Drosophila melanogaster: one gene and its partners. The protein of the gene in region 1 interacts with the protein of each later gene in a pairwise test. Each region holds a gene or a part of one and is shown in the gene's direction. Other genes may lie near its edges.

Region 1 (4,775 bases):
GTGAATTACAAAAAGTAAAAGAGGAAAAAATTTTATGATCTTACGACACATGGGTATATCGCAGTGCTGCCAGCGCACTGATTCATCCACAGTGTAGCACCAGGGATGCGGCTCCTCACCGCCAGCATTCCGGCAGTAGTTTTCGCCCTCCAGGAGCTGATGGAAGACCAGTGGTGGCTGGAAGTGCTTGTGCGGGTACTGAGTGTCCCAGCGCTGGCAGGGAATGCCCGACTTGGACACGTTCATTGTGCCCATGTAGAAGCGTCCGTTTCCATTGCGGCAATCGTCTGTGAAGAAAAGGGATTCTAGCATCAGAAAGACCTTCTTGAGGGTTTGTGATAATGAAGACTTACAGCTCACTTCGGACTCCTTGAGTTCGGTGAGACCGATGTAGGAGCAGTTGGGTCGCCGCATGGAAGCGTTGTAGTGCGGCAAGGAGGAGCAGTTGGGTAGCCGGAAGTGGCCGCGGCTCTTGATGAACATATTTCGCTCCTTCTTCTCCTCGATGAGCACCCAGTCGTTGTAGCAGAACTGGAGATGCGTGGCCTGGCAATCCTCGAAGCAGAGAGGAGCCTTCACCGCTCGACCGCCCTCCATGTGGCAGTTGGGAAACGCATAGGCGCAGAGCATTTTCTGTAGCGAAAAGAGATTAATGGGATGAGATGGGATCTCTAGATGTATCAATCGAAACTCACCTCGGCTGCTTCGCGACACAGACCCGTAAGATCGGAGATAAGCTCGTCCCAGAGCGCCGTGGTCACCTGCTCGTTCTTCCACCCGCCAGTGGGATCCTCCAGACTGTACCACACCTGGCCGGTGAGGTATTCCTTGCACACCTTGCCGCTGTACGGGGCGCAGTAGCCGTTCTCCTCCCGCTCGCGCTCGTGATGCCGCTGGTGGTGTCGCCGGGTGACGGGCTCCTCGATGGCGTTCAGGGAGTTCGCGTGCGTGGCGCTGGCAAAGAGAAACACGCACAGCCCCAGGACAGCCAAATTGGCCCCCCATTTCAGCACCATTCCCCGGAGCACCCGCTCAACCACCCCCACCCATTGCCCGGCAGCCATGGCTGTGTTTTATGTATATGCCTTGTTTAGCGAACCGTTTCCAAGCAAAATCCTTGCGAGCACTCATAAACTAAGGCATTTTACCGCCTTACACCACAATATTCAATCTACCCGAATTTTAAAATAGATTTTAAGAAGTAAGCTCGAAGTAAGTCGGCAGAATATTTGTTTATTTCCGCGCACACAGCTCGACGACGCCTTTTCACCGAATACCACACAAAGCTGACGACGGGATGTTTCGCCACCCGTACTTCTCCCTTAGGGGTGGTTTCCTGTCACGAGCACAGGGTTGCTAAATGCGCGGCAAAGGCGGCCGAAAGTCCTGTGCTCGGCTTGAGAGCTCCACTGGCGAAATGTTTGTTTTTATTGATATTAATTTTTCTTCTGCTTCTCCTCCTCCTTCAGCTGTTTCTCCCTGAGCTTTTCCTCCTTCTTCAGCTGTTTCTCCCTTAGCTTCCGCTCTTTCTCCCGCTTCTTCACGATTGCGGGATCATCGCTGTCCTCATTGGGGTCCTTCTCCTCCTTCTTCACCTCTTCATCGGGAATTTGTTCAAGACCCTATAGAGAAAGAAGCTTTACACCTGAGGCAGCAAAAAAAAATCTGTAAGGAACTACAGGAAAAACCAAAAACGACCATTTCAACTATCACTTCCGAACTGCACGTTTCGTTTATTCACTTTTGCACTTAAGCTTAAACGGAAAACTTTACTTAATTAAAATTAGTTCGTTTTCTCATCCGGTATGGCATCCAGACCCTGCAAGAAGATTGGTTCGGTTTTTTGTAAATGATTTAAGCTTATAACTCTTCGAATAAGCGTAAAAAAATGGATGGTATGAATTCGTAGGAAATAAAGTAACATTAACTACCGCCACCAATGATCAATAAACAATAAAAACGAAATTAACCAAGAAAACTAAGATTTTAAATGCAATTACCTTATAATATAGAAAACTTTAAAACTAATATTTTATTAGTGAAGAAAGCTAGTTCATAACACCAAAAACAATCTATTTAACATACTTCAGAGAAAAACATAAACAACGAAACCAAAATGAGCGTGCATAATAATGAAGTGCGTGCTGTGAGATAACAAAACTGCTGCCAAAAATAGGGTAAAAACGTGATGGTTGGCCTGCCGCACAAAAATCAGTTGTAGGCAGGCCAGACTATAGCACAACACTTACGTTCATCTTGTAGGGATTGTCGGTCAGTCGGAAATCGCGCTGGTACATAACTCGGCTGAAACGCTCGTCCATGTTGCGCCGGAAAGCCTGTTGAGCAAACGATTAGCAAACAATTAGTAACTCCGTAGTGTTCCGTCGAACTCGTTGCGAAAAGCAGGCGGTTAAATAATGTTTAACAGATTCCGATTGGTGCACAAACAGCTGCGGTTATATAAGAATTTCGGGCTGCTGGGCCAGAAGGCCAGCGTGGGACTCACATTGCCGATCATCAGCTTGTCCAGGCCGTACATGGCGTATATGGGCACCGAGAGGAGCGTGGTGATGATCACCGCACCAGGTAGGATTTCGAACCACATATTGTCAATGGAAATAGATTGTTATGATATTTACTGCAAGACGACACCCAGTGTGACCGTGGATAGTCCGTTCCAATATACAGGTAGCCTTACAAAATATACCAAAAACTTGAATGTTGAACTAGAGGTGGGCCAGTAACGATAAGAAAGTAACGGTGACTGAATTCTATTCTGCTACTGCGTTTAGAAAAACGTCAATGTTGATTTGAAAATAGTTTTTGACCAATAGTTGGCTTAAATAATTTGTAAATAGATCTGATATATCTAGTAGAGCTGATAAATGTACGCAATGTTTATAATCAATTTCAAAGCTCGAAAGTATATAGAAAACAAATTCCAGTGTAAAGCTGCGTGACCGTTTTACGCTCTATTCGGGTTGGTATTTTTCCCAATGCACTTTTCGTACATCCAGCTGGACCATTTTTTTGCACTCAGATCTCGGTCTTACCAATCCGATTCTTCATTGAACAGCTACGAAGGAATTCGCAGAGAGTTCTGAGCGCAGCAATAGCAGCAAGAAGACTACCAACAAAGAGCAGAGCGACAAATCAGCGGAGAGCAGGATGGCCACCAGCGGTATTGTCGAGTCATTTCCCACGGGCGCACTGGTGCCCAAGGCGGAGACGGGAGTCCTGAACTTTCTGCAGAAGTACCCGGAGTACGATGGACGCGACGTCACCATAGCCATCTTCGATTCCGGCGTCGATCCCCGGGCAACGGGACTGGAGGTGAGTTGGCACTTTTTCGCACTCTCTATACCGGTTACAAAGAACTTGTACAGTTATTCTTCCAATATTTACAATATTTCGTCTTACCTATTCTATTACGATTTAATCCTTCTACTGTGTCACGACTGCTTCTTACTCCCGTTTCTCATTATAACCGATCCAATTTCAATCTGCTCCTACGCAACAGACGCTGTGCGATGGAAAGACCGTTAAAGTAATAGAGCGGTACGACTGTTCCGGATGCGGCGACGTGGACATGAAGAAGAAGGTGACGCCGGACGAGAACGGCAACATTAAGGGCCTGTCCGGAAACTCGCTCAAGCTGAGTCCGGAGCTGATGGCTCTGAACACAGATCCGGAGAAGGCGGTGCGGGTAGGCCTCAAGAGCTTCAGCGATTTGTTGCCCTCCAAGGTGCGGAACAACATTGTGGCCCAGGCCAAGCTGAAGCACTGGGACAAGCCGCACAAGACGGCCACTGCAAACGCCAGTCGCAAGATTGTTGAATTTGAGTCACAAAATCCAGGTGAGCTAAGTGATTGATTACTTGAGGCAAAATTACCAACAACATATGTATCTTTGCAGGAGAAGCCTCAAAACTGCCCTGGGACAAGAAGATATTGAAAGAGAATCTAGACTTTGAGCTAGAGATGTTGAATAGCTACGAGAAGGTGTACGGCGACATTAAGACCTCCTACGATTGCATCCTTTTTCCCACGGCCGACGGATGGCTGACAATCGTCGACACCACGGAGCAGGGCGATCTGGATCAGGCTCTGCGCATTGGCGAGTATTCCCGCACGCACGAGACCCGCAATGTGGACGACTTTCTTTCCATATCGGTAAACGTCCACGACGAGGGCAACGTACTGGAGGTGGTCGGCATGAGCTCACCCCACGGCACCCACGTATCGTCTATTGCCAGCGGCAACCATAGCTCCCGGGACGTGGATGGCGTGGCGCCGAATGCTAAGATCGTTTCTATGACCATCGGTGATGGTCGACTTGGGTCTATGGAGACCGGCACGGCACTAGTGCGTGCCATGACTAAGGTGATGGAACTATGTCGCGATGGCAGACGCATCGATGTGATCAACATGAGCTATGGCGAGCATGCCAATTGGTCAAATTCCGGGTAAGCAAGTGCGAAAGGCCGGCGGAACTAATCCCAAAGTTGGTGATGTCTTTTAGTGTGTCTGGGTCAGGGTCTGGGTCGGATGAAATGCGTCGCAGAAGAAAGATGTGTGCGTCTAGGTAAATTTCATGAGAAATCCAAATATTCACACAGTCCAATCCTCTTGTCTTCGACACGTTCCAGCCGACACACACCTAACTGATAACCATCAAAATTCATGAAAAAATACCTAATCTATATCTCTAATCTCTTGCAGCCGCATTGGGGAGCTCATGAACGAGGTTGTCAACAAGTATGGCGTGGTGTGGG
Region 2 (4,698 bases), on another chromosome or scaffold:
TTGGATAATTGGATAACCACAAGGATCTACGATAATTGAAGATTAGTGTGGCACATGCATGGGATTCTTAATGGTGATGCTCTTCAGTGGGCTAAAGCAAATGGCAAAACTTTTAGCCAAGGCTTTATGTTAGAAACTAAAATTTGTTATTCTTAAACGATTCATTACCAAATTATTCGGGGCGCATTCTTAAAGTGGCATCTTCAATGGAAATCAAATATGGAATACCAACACTAAATTAGAAACCTATTCCAGTGTTGGTTAATCATGTTCTAGGGACATCAATAGTATTCTTTCTTATGGTATGCCATTATTTAATCTGATTTCAACGGTACGAAAAGATGTCGTATTCTTTATAAACGAGGACCTTCAAAACGTTTACCATCAAATATGTTTTCGTAAACCCGCAGACGCAGTCCAACAATGGAGGTCGCTGTGGTCTGTGCGGCGACAACTTCCTGGATGCCCAGCCCCGTGCCAACGAGATCGGAGGAAGCATCGGTGGAGCTGGTGTGGTGACCAGGAGCTACGTGGCTGGCAATACCATCACCGTGGGCGTGAAGATCACCACCAATCACTTGGGTTACTTCGAGTTCCACCTGTGCAACCTGGACGCCTTCGGTGCCGAGTCGGAGGAGTGCTTCGATCAGAACCGCCTGCGATTCATCGATGGAAGCGATAGAAAGGATATCGGCGATCAGATGGGCGAATTCGATGTGACAGTCGTCCTGCCGGAGGGTCTTACCTGCTCTCACTGCGTCCTCCGCTGGACCTATGTGGGTGGTAAGTGGTGGCCAGAACGTAAATGGAACTTAAAGTGAAAATTAATTGAACATCTTGTGCATTTCAGCCAACAACTGGGGCATCTGCGATAATTCCGGAAACGGAGCCTTGGGCTGTGGCCCACAGGAAACATTCAAGAACTGCGCCGATGTGAGCATCTACTGGGGTCGCAACCTGGTCAAGGAATTGGTCGGTGGCGGAGATCCAGTGGCTCCGGTTGAGGTCGCCTGAAAATCCAGACTAAAATTCAACGAACTGCCATTTATGTCTGAAAATGCAAAATGCCAAATAGTCAGCTAAAGTTATTTAAATAAATGAGTGAACATTTACACATTAGTTAATTGGGTCCTTGGAGCTGCTTCCTATTTATAGAAATTTAGTTTTATTTACTGTTTAATTTTGAGATCTTATCCAATTTAGATACATTATTTAAACAGATGTTAGAGATAGACACATCATAACCAATATTTTTTAAGTCCAAAACTATGCAACAAATTGTATAAATCAGAATTTGTTAATGTTCTACGGCCTTCAGGTATACAGTATTTCTGCTAGGTTTTGACCTAAAAAGCAAGCAAAAAAAAATAATAGAAATTTGTTTATATATAATAACAATAATAGTGTGTAAATTGAAGGCGAAGTGGCTTTAAAGAACAGAATTACGTTACTTATAGTTCGATTCTTTTCATTGCAAATTTCAATATTTTGTTCGCTTTCACCTTGATTATTAATGCTTAATTGATGATTCTGAGAACACGTTGTATCGATAAAACAAAAGCATATAACCGCAAAAGTTGACCAAATAGATTGTGTTTATAGGGCAATTTAAATTTATGAAATCTGAAGATAGATATGCATCTTTTTTTGCAGTATGTGCTAAAATATATGTCTTATTTTGAGCCAAAGGGCCATGAAAAAGGAAAATAGTGGCTTCAAAGTACTCGCATGTTTTATCTGGAGGCATCATGGAATAATCGAAACTAAATAATTGCTGATTTATTAATATACGAGCAGCTTAATCCCTGAACTTAAACGTGGCCAATTTTTTTTAGCTGCGCGCAAGTGCTCTAAATTTGTTGTTTAAAAAAACATTTGCGTTTTTGGCTATTGTATGGACCGTACTACAATATATGATTGGCAGAAAAGTGCTGAAGTCAAAACCAACTAAAATAGTAAGTAATTGCACTTAAGAATCGTTGACCTTGGCTAACAAATTTTGCGAAATCGTGAGAATTTTTCCAAGCCTTTGAACTCCTATCAAAATGGCATTGGTGGGCTAAATAATAATAGCATAATAAAGCAGTCTTCCAAGTTATTATGATTAGGTTACCAAAAAATACGGGTATTGCTTAGATGTGTCATATGTGTTTTCACACTTTCCAGGTCAGATACAAGAAATTCTCCCAAATTCTAACTACCAATAACCATAAACGAAATTAAGATTGTGAGCCGATAAGATGCATTCACGGTTATTGGACGAAAAATCAAAAACAAACATAAACTGCCCGGCAACTGATAAGGTTTGGCAATATGGAACTATATAAGGCCACGACCAGTTCGTTTTGGCCACAAAGAAAGTGAAATCAATATGAATACGTATAAATTTATCCTGTTTCTTAGCATGGGTTTTTTAAACCGGATGGGTGAACTGGAGGGCCACGGTATGATGTTAAGTCCAACCGGAAGATCCTCGCGTTGGCGCTACGATAACTCGGCGCCAACAAACTACGATGACAATGCATTATATTGCGGTGGATTTTGGGTAGGAGTGCCTTAAAAAAATTCTATATTCATTTGATTCAATGATGTTCTTAACCCTTTAGAAACAAACCGAAAATGATGGCAAATGTGGACTGTGCGGAGACGACTGGAGCTTGGAGCAGCCGCGACCCAATGAGTTGGGTGGAAAATATGGCAGTGGAGTGATTGTAAAGAGCTTTGCCGGAGTAGATGAAGCGGAAATTAATGTTAAGATCACAGCCAATCATCTGGGCTACTTCCGCTTCCACATCTGCGATTTGGACGAAAATGGCAGCGAGTCGGAGGATTGCTTTAACCAATATCCTTTGAATTTCACCGACGGTAGCCAGAAGTACTACATTAACACCACCACTGGCGATATCCCAGTAACCGTGAAACTGCCCAGTGATCTCAACTGCATTCATTGCGTTTTGCGCTGGACTTACACGGCGGGAAATAATTGGGGTGTTTGTGAGGATGGGACGGGCGCCATGGGTTGTGGGGCGCAGGAAACCTTTATTAACTGCGCTGATATCAGTGTACTATCCTCAGCGAGAAGTATTATCCAGGAGGTGCCCGTGGAGGTGGCGGAATCGAAGTGAGGTGGTTATCATCAGCGGTGGCCAATCGAACAATACTGCTAGTCTCAATAAATTATGTAACTTATTTATTTCTAATTGTTCCAAATTGTTCATCAACAATACGATTTTGTTTTAAGAAAAGGTTATTTTATTACTTCAATTCTTCATTTATGTATTGATTTAACAATACTTGATAAAAAATGCACCTCAAAAAGTTCCATTTAACAATAAGACAATAATAGTTAAGTATTTACGAACCACCATAAATAAATGCCATTTTGAAAATTATGAATGTTTATTTCTGTTTTATTCAATAAATTAATCGTCGTATATATTATTTATACATATATATGAGTGTGTGTTTTGAGTGTGTGTGTGGATTGTTGGTGATGACCGTTCGTCTTTGAGGTGCAGGGCATCGCACTCCCTCCTCCTAAGATGGATCCTACTTATTAAATTCTTGATTCTGAAAGCCCTGTCTTAGACGTGTTCTTAACGATCGGATGAGATTTGCACGGTTGAGTGCTTAAATATTTGTTGTTTTTAAGCTATCCTGTTTATGTTCGTATTTGTATCTTGTATGTTATTTTAATATTCGTAATTTGTCTTAAGTTATTCGTGGCTTACAAAATATGTTTCACATTAACTGGCTTATTAGTTAACTTCACAAATAAGTTGTATGTATATATATATGCATTCTTTTCTTTTATATTTTACAAAGCCTTCAAAAGTCAATTGCAAACGATAAGTCGGTAAATTCACTACAAAACTCAAAAGTCGCGTTTTAAGAATATCTATTGGTTTACGTTTTCCTTTTAACAATTAACTAAACAAACCGCAAACAACAGTGTGTAATCTCGATTGCCACTAATGATGCCATCAATCTGATGTATTTAGATATATATTGAGCTCTATGTTTTGAGGAGAGTACAGATACGGCTTGAAATGCCCTCCTCGATTAAAAACTATAAAAAACACACTCTCCATTATCGTCAAAATGTGCGAATCGCTCACAACTGAATTACAAGTGTTTCAGCCCTTTTTGGGCTTTGTTTCTAAATCACCATCGTTTAAAAGCATTTTAAAATACAGTGGTTGCACTTCGAGAAAAATAGATGTATATTTATATATATTAATGTGGGGGAGGAGGTCCTTCGCTTCTCTACCAAATATTTTGTTATAAAAGCACCTTATAAATTTTACACGTACTCGCAAAGTTTACCCACTTGCCTCGTTTGTATAAATAGCTAAATAGTTCATCTTTCATTTTTACTTTGTTCAAAAATTGTTTTTAACATTATACAACACTATCTGTATTTTTGTTTTCTTTGTAATACCTGAATTTTAGAATTTTGTATCCGAAACGCCTTTTTTGTTGTTTTTTTTTTATTTTGCTGACTGAGTTTGTTCCATTTTTGTTCTCTTTCTTGTAATTGCCAAAAGGTTTTTCAGTATTTCCTGTCATTAATTTCCTTAGTCCGAAATGCTGGTTGCCAAAAATGTTCGTTGTTGTATCAGTTATACATCTTTCATACGTTTTCGAACTTGATAGGTCGAAAAGCTTGTGTTTTTCTCTAACTTGACCTAATTGACA
Region 3 (4,775 bases), on another chromosome or scaffold:
TTTCGCTAACAAACCGGCGCCCACAGTGGGTCCCAAGTTGCCAATGCCGTCGGCCATTCTGGCCGCCAAGGAGGGCGCCAATCCGCAGACCGGCGACACGAAGCCTGCGCTCAAGCGCAAGCTGGTCGAGACTACGGTGAGGGGCAATGGATTGGCCCAGAAGAAGCGGCTGCAGTTCTAGCACACACACACACACACACACACACACACACACCCACACACACTCACTCAGTTAACACACACTTTCCATTATAACATTGATGTTTGTGATCGCGTTACGTTGTTCACCGCAGACATGCACAATAAGTTCTATTGAAAGGCTTAAGGATGCATTGCATCCACTCCAAAAGCTCCACTCCATTCTAATTGATATGAATTTTTCTCGCTTGGCAAAACCTTTTCGCCACCCAACATGAGTTGTTAAGACTATGCTTAAGATGATTGAGGATGATCTATTAAAGATGTGATTGAAAGCGAGCGAAAATTGAGTAGTTAATTAGTAGTACATAGGATCCTGGTAGGTTGTGCAAAAGCTGTTCCAGTGCACGCTACCGTATTTATATTTCTGAAAACAAATTGGTAACCAAGTCAATCGACGCACATTTGAAACTCTCGAAATTCTCAGCGCTCGTTTCGGTCCGTGTTTTGTTTTGTTTTTTTTTTTTTTTTCCTTTTTGCTAGTGTTAACTAAAGATTTGCCGTATTTCGTTTTCCTGTTTGGAGTTAGACGATGTCAAAGGCGCAGCAACTGATGGCCAGGGACCAACAGGCGGCCAGGACGGAGGAGGAGGCGCGTCGCAAGCGCGCCGAGATGCGTCAAAGCTATGGTAACAAATTTTCCAGCATAAATCTGCATAGGATGCGCCAGAAGCAGACGACCAATGCCGGCGATGTCATCGCCACCAAAGCAACCACAATGGATGCTGCCTACAGCAAGAAGGCGCCGGTGGAAACCAATGCCGATGCGCCGGCAATGCCGACGAAAAAGGAAAAGGATGACCCCTCACTGCGTCGCATCGCTTCCAGTTTTGCGCACGTGCGGGATTTAGTTAGCGGCAGCACCGACGCCCTGCCCCTGGAGGATAGCGAGGATGATGCTCGCGAGGAGCGCGCCGAGGTGCTCATCTTCAGTCAGACAATGCCGCCACCCGATGAGCTGTCCGTTGACTTGCCATCTCCTGGCAAATCTGAGCCGGAAACGGAGCCCGACCTCCAGTCCCAATCTCAGTTCAATCTGGAATCTGAACAGCAACCTCAACCGGAAACCAACAGCACAGACATTGCTGCTGCTGCTGCTGCTGCACAGATCGCTGAATTGTCGGCATCAGTGATGTCGTCCAAAGTAATGCTCGATGCGCCGCACACCGAATCCCGGGCCTTCGAACGCTGGCAGCAGCTGGGCAGCACGGTATCGGCACTTTTCCGTGCCCGGCGGAACATCGACATCGCTGAGTCGCCGATGGCGCAGACTCGACGATTGCGCGAACAGCGCGAGCTGCTCGAGGCATTCACCCGACCCTTTCTGTACGACGCGTACAGGAGGGAGTAAGTAAGGCTTGCGGTGACGCCTGAGAACTGAAACGGAAAGCCCAACAAACGGAGGCACCCCCCCTTGCCAAGCCATTGAAATTCAAACAATTTAGAGCAGTGTCTTCGATTAAATTCAATTCATTAGATCTCGCATATCGCATCTCGCATCCTCCGCATGGGCAATGGGTGGGCAGCACAGCTGTGGCTCGCAATCCGGTTTAGTAGCAGCGGCATCTGTCCGGCGGACACTCCGATTCATAGTTGAGACACTTGTCCATGCAGTAGGTGTCGGCACCATCCTGTCCAGCATACTCGCCAATGGCCACGCACTCCTGACTGTGCAATTGATATGGGTTTAGATTCGAACTTGCTATGTATGTATCTCGTTAGATACATATTATTCATGTGCATACTTACGGACATTGGCAGGCGTCCTCCGGACAATTGGGCGGATAGCGCAGGCAATTGATCTCGCACCAGTTGTCGATGCCCGGCAAGGCACGGAATGCTGGGGCGCCAATGCACTTTTGGTCACTAAAAGAAATCAATAGCATAGCCACATAACAAGAAGAATTCCATGATGCTAAAAAAAAAACTACTAGGATCAACTAGATGGCTTTGGAAATGGCATCGCAGCAGTCCTTGAACACCCGGCGTTCGGCTGTCAAGTTCGATTTCGATTTTAGTCCCAGCTGTTCGTTTCACTCAGTCAGTCGACTAGAACAGTGCTCCCACTCCCAATATTTATTTTATAAGCTCGACATTACAATAAATCGAACACAAAACGAAGGTCACATATTATATATATATATATATATATATATATATAGCAGATGTCGCAATAGATCGCTGTAGCGGAGCAACCAACATGAATCGCAATCGAATCAATCAGATACGCCAGTTAGATCGCGGCCAGGAGGGACTGCCGCAAGTCATCCAAATGCAGGGACAGGCACAGGTTCAGCTGGGCGGCGACCAGGGTAATCACGTCGGCAACGAGGGACAAGCGACGGGCAATCAGAATGTCCGCCGCAAGATGACCTACACCAGAACGGAGATGCTGTCGCGTGGCCTGCCCACCGGTAAGTTTCGTCCAACCAAAGATCTCAGATTTTTTTTTCTTATTTTGTTTTCTTTTTTTTTTTTTTTTTTGTTCAGTTAACAACAGCAATCGTTCGGCTCGAAACTGCAACACAGCTGGACAGGATTGGACCAGTCAATTGTCGCCCAGACATCGTTACGCACAACCACCAAAGTCCGGAATACCGGTCCCTCCGTTGTTCCTAAGCAGCACCCATGCAAGCACCAATAAGAATGTCACCACTGCCAGTCGTCAGCGTAGTTTCCTGCCCCGAGTGGCCAAATTGCCAAACAGAGCGGACAAATCGCCGAGGAAGAATCAATATCGCGAAGCTCTGACCACTGAGGTCACGGTGGAGCAATCTCAGACGTTGCCATTGGGCAATCACAAGGCTAAACATTTGGTGAATACACCACATGACAGCGAGAGCAGCATTCTGCAGGACGGCAGTGATGATAAGCTAATAAGCGACAGCGGCAGCTCAATGGATCACGACAAGATCAAATTGGCCAAGGCCATACGCCTGCCGGATGAGGGGAACAAGAGTTTCGTCTATGTATGCAAGCCGGTGAAGAAGGTCAAAGCTCTGTTGACTGCCAGAAAATTGCGCGCTAGCAGCGAGCACTTGAATGGCCCAAAGGATGGTGAGTTTAGCTTGCAGGAACAGGAGACATTCAAGCTGCAGAGGACCATTTCCGAGGAGGCTCTATGCAGCCGTGGCGCCGGCGAGGGATACACACTCTCGCCCGTCGAGGGACTGGCACAGAGCACATCGACCACCTCCAGCCAGTTGGATAGTCCCACATTGGCGGCCATGCTGCAGCGCCAGCAGCAATTCGAGTCGAAGGCGGTTGGCAGTCAGGACCGTTTGAGGTTGCAATTGGAGGAGGTGTGCCACAGGCACAATAATCAGCGCCAGCTGGAAAAGGATCAGTACGAGAAGGAGCAGCGCCAATTGGAATTGGATCAGGTGTCAAAGAAACTGCCCGTGCTGCAGCATGAGATACATATGCTGCATAAGGTGAGCGAAAAACTGGAGGCGACACTAAGGGCCACCAATATACCCAAGCCGAGAAGCAACGTAATCATTACGGATATAAGCCGGCAATCATCTGGACGTTTCTACACACCGCGCACCAGTCCCAATCAATTGGACGAGCTGCCCATTAGGAAATTGTGTTGTTTGCGCTTGGAATATATACCAGCTATTGAGATGCGGGCACGCATCATTGGCACCGTTTGCCATGTGGGCTTTGTCCAAGAGTTTCGCATCGAGACCAAAACACTTAACGAGCTAAAGACGGCGGATGAGTCGCAATGCTTCTATTTACCGGCACCCAAAGAGGAACCGCCATTGGTCCAGCTCAACGAGGATGATCCATTGCAGTGCACCAACTTTCGTCAGTTGCGTAAGAATCCGAATATGCTGTTTCAGCAACTGCGAAAAGTGCCCGGCGCTGGGGGATCCTTTAATCTTTTGGATCAGGACACAATGTTCTTCAATAGTCTGGCCTATGCGGATTCAAAAATCATGGATGCTAACACCGTCGAACAGCTTGAGGTGGCCACACGCGAGGCGGGTGGCGGTGGAGCAACTATGGCCCATTATGGCGGAGCCATTGCCTATTCACGCCTCTCGGTGCGTCTCAACGAAGTGGGCGTGGATGATGCTGCTGCTGCTGCTGCTCCTCCTACTCCTGCAGTGAAATCAGAGGAGCAGGGCGATCGTCTAACTGAATGTCCTTGTCAGGTGAACAATACCACTCAAACGGACGTGGAATTGTCCAAGTTGGAGAAAATTCGAGAAGCGGAAGAGGAAATTAGTTCACCAGACTTTACACCCAATCCCAGTCCCAGGACAAGGAAGCGAATGAAAGTGGAGGAGCCGAACGGCAAAGTGCAAGAGGAAGACGCGTTGGAATCCAATCTCGATTCGCGACCAAAGAAGACCAGGAAAGTAATAACTCGTAGAGCGCCCGATCCACCCGTTCGTTGTGACGTGGAGCCCAAGGTGCGTTTGAAGTTGCTCAAAACCGTATTGGTGGGAATGGTCCAGATCGCTGTTATATTAGTTCTCATCATGGCCATCGGATCTCCGGATATTATCTGCTAAGCTACACAACCATCGAAATATTGCCAAGATGCCATAGAAAAAGAAGCAGTG

What was found.
Region 2: the proteins of TppII (region 1) and CG4367 interact in a two-hybrid assay, tested with the Drosophila melanogaster proteins (one large-scale study listed by BioGRID).
Region 3: the proteins of TppII (region 1) and CG3323 interact in a two-hybrid assay, tested with the Drosophila melanogaster proteins (one large-scale study listed by BioGRID).

Annotation. Positions count from the first base shown.
Region 1 is NT_033778.4:13,156,578-13,161,352, reverse strand, and holds the start of TppII (Tripeptidyl-peptidase II), read left to right. Parts: upstream 1-2,211; 5' UTR 2,212-2,249; coding exon of another isoform or gene 2,250-2,336; 5' UTR 2,337-2,417; coding exon 2,418-2,586; coding exon of another isoform or gene 2,587-2,605; exon of another isoform or gene 2,606-2,687; intron 2,688-2,907; exon of another isoform or gene 2,908-2,980; intron 2,981-3,040; exon of another isoform or gene 3,041-3,076; coding exon 3,077-3,333; intron 3,334-3,520; coding exon 3,521-3,857; intron 3,858-3,916; coding exon 3,917-4,466; intron 4,467-4,522; coding exon of another isoform or gene 4,523-4,585; intron 4,586-4,722; coding exon 4,723-4,775. Other genes in the region: Nrk (neurospecific receptor kinase), read right to left, coding at 45-287, 354-633, 696-1,064; ND-MWFE (NADH dehydrogenase (ubiquinone) MWFE subunit), read right to left, coding at 1,437-1,622, 2,250-2,336, 2,507-2,605. UniProt on the Drosophila melanogaster protein: Component of the proteolytic cascade acting downstream of the 26S proteasome in the ubiquitin-proteasome pathway. Efficiently cleaves Ala-Ala-Ala-polypeptide and Pro-Pro-Ala-polypeptide, Val-Leu-Lys-polypeptide only at high concentration.
Region 2 is NT_033777.3:20,302,629-20,307,326, reverse strand, and holds CG4367 (uncharacterized protein), read left to right. Parts: upstream 1-2,349; 5' UTR 2,350-2,371; coding exon 2,372-2,545; intron 2,546-2,606; coding exon 2,607-3,125; 3' UTR 3,126-3,372; downstream 3,373-4,698. Other genes in the region: CG4362 (uncharacterized protein), read left to right, coding at 411-783, 851-1,014.
Region 3 is NC_004354.4:5,303,168-5,307,942, reverse strand, and holds the start of CG3323 (uncharacterized protein), read left to right. Parts: upstream 1-2,251; 5' UTR 2,252-2,398; coding exon 2,399-2,612; intron 2,613-2,688; coding exon 2,689-4,724; 3' UTR 4,725-4,775. Other genes in the region: Cdk7 (Cyclin-dependent kinase 7), read left to right, coding at 1-181; CG17764 (uncharacterized protein), read left to right, coding at 731-1,549; CG42749 (uncharacterized protein), read right to left, coding at 1,749-1,866, 1,948-2,064.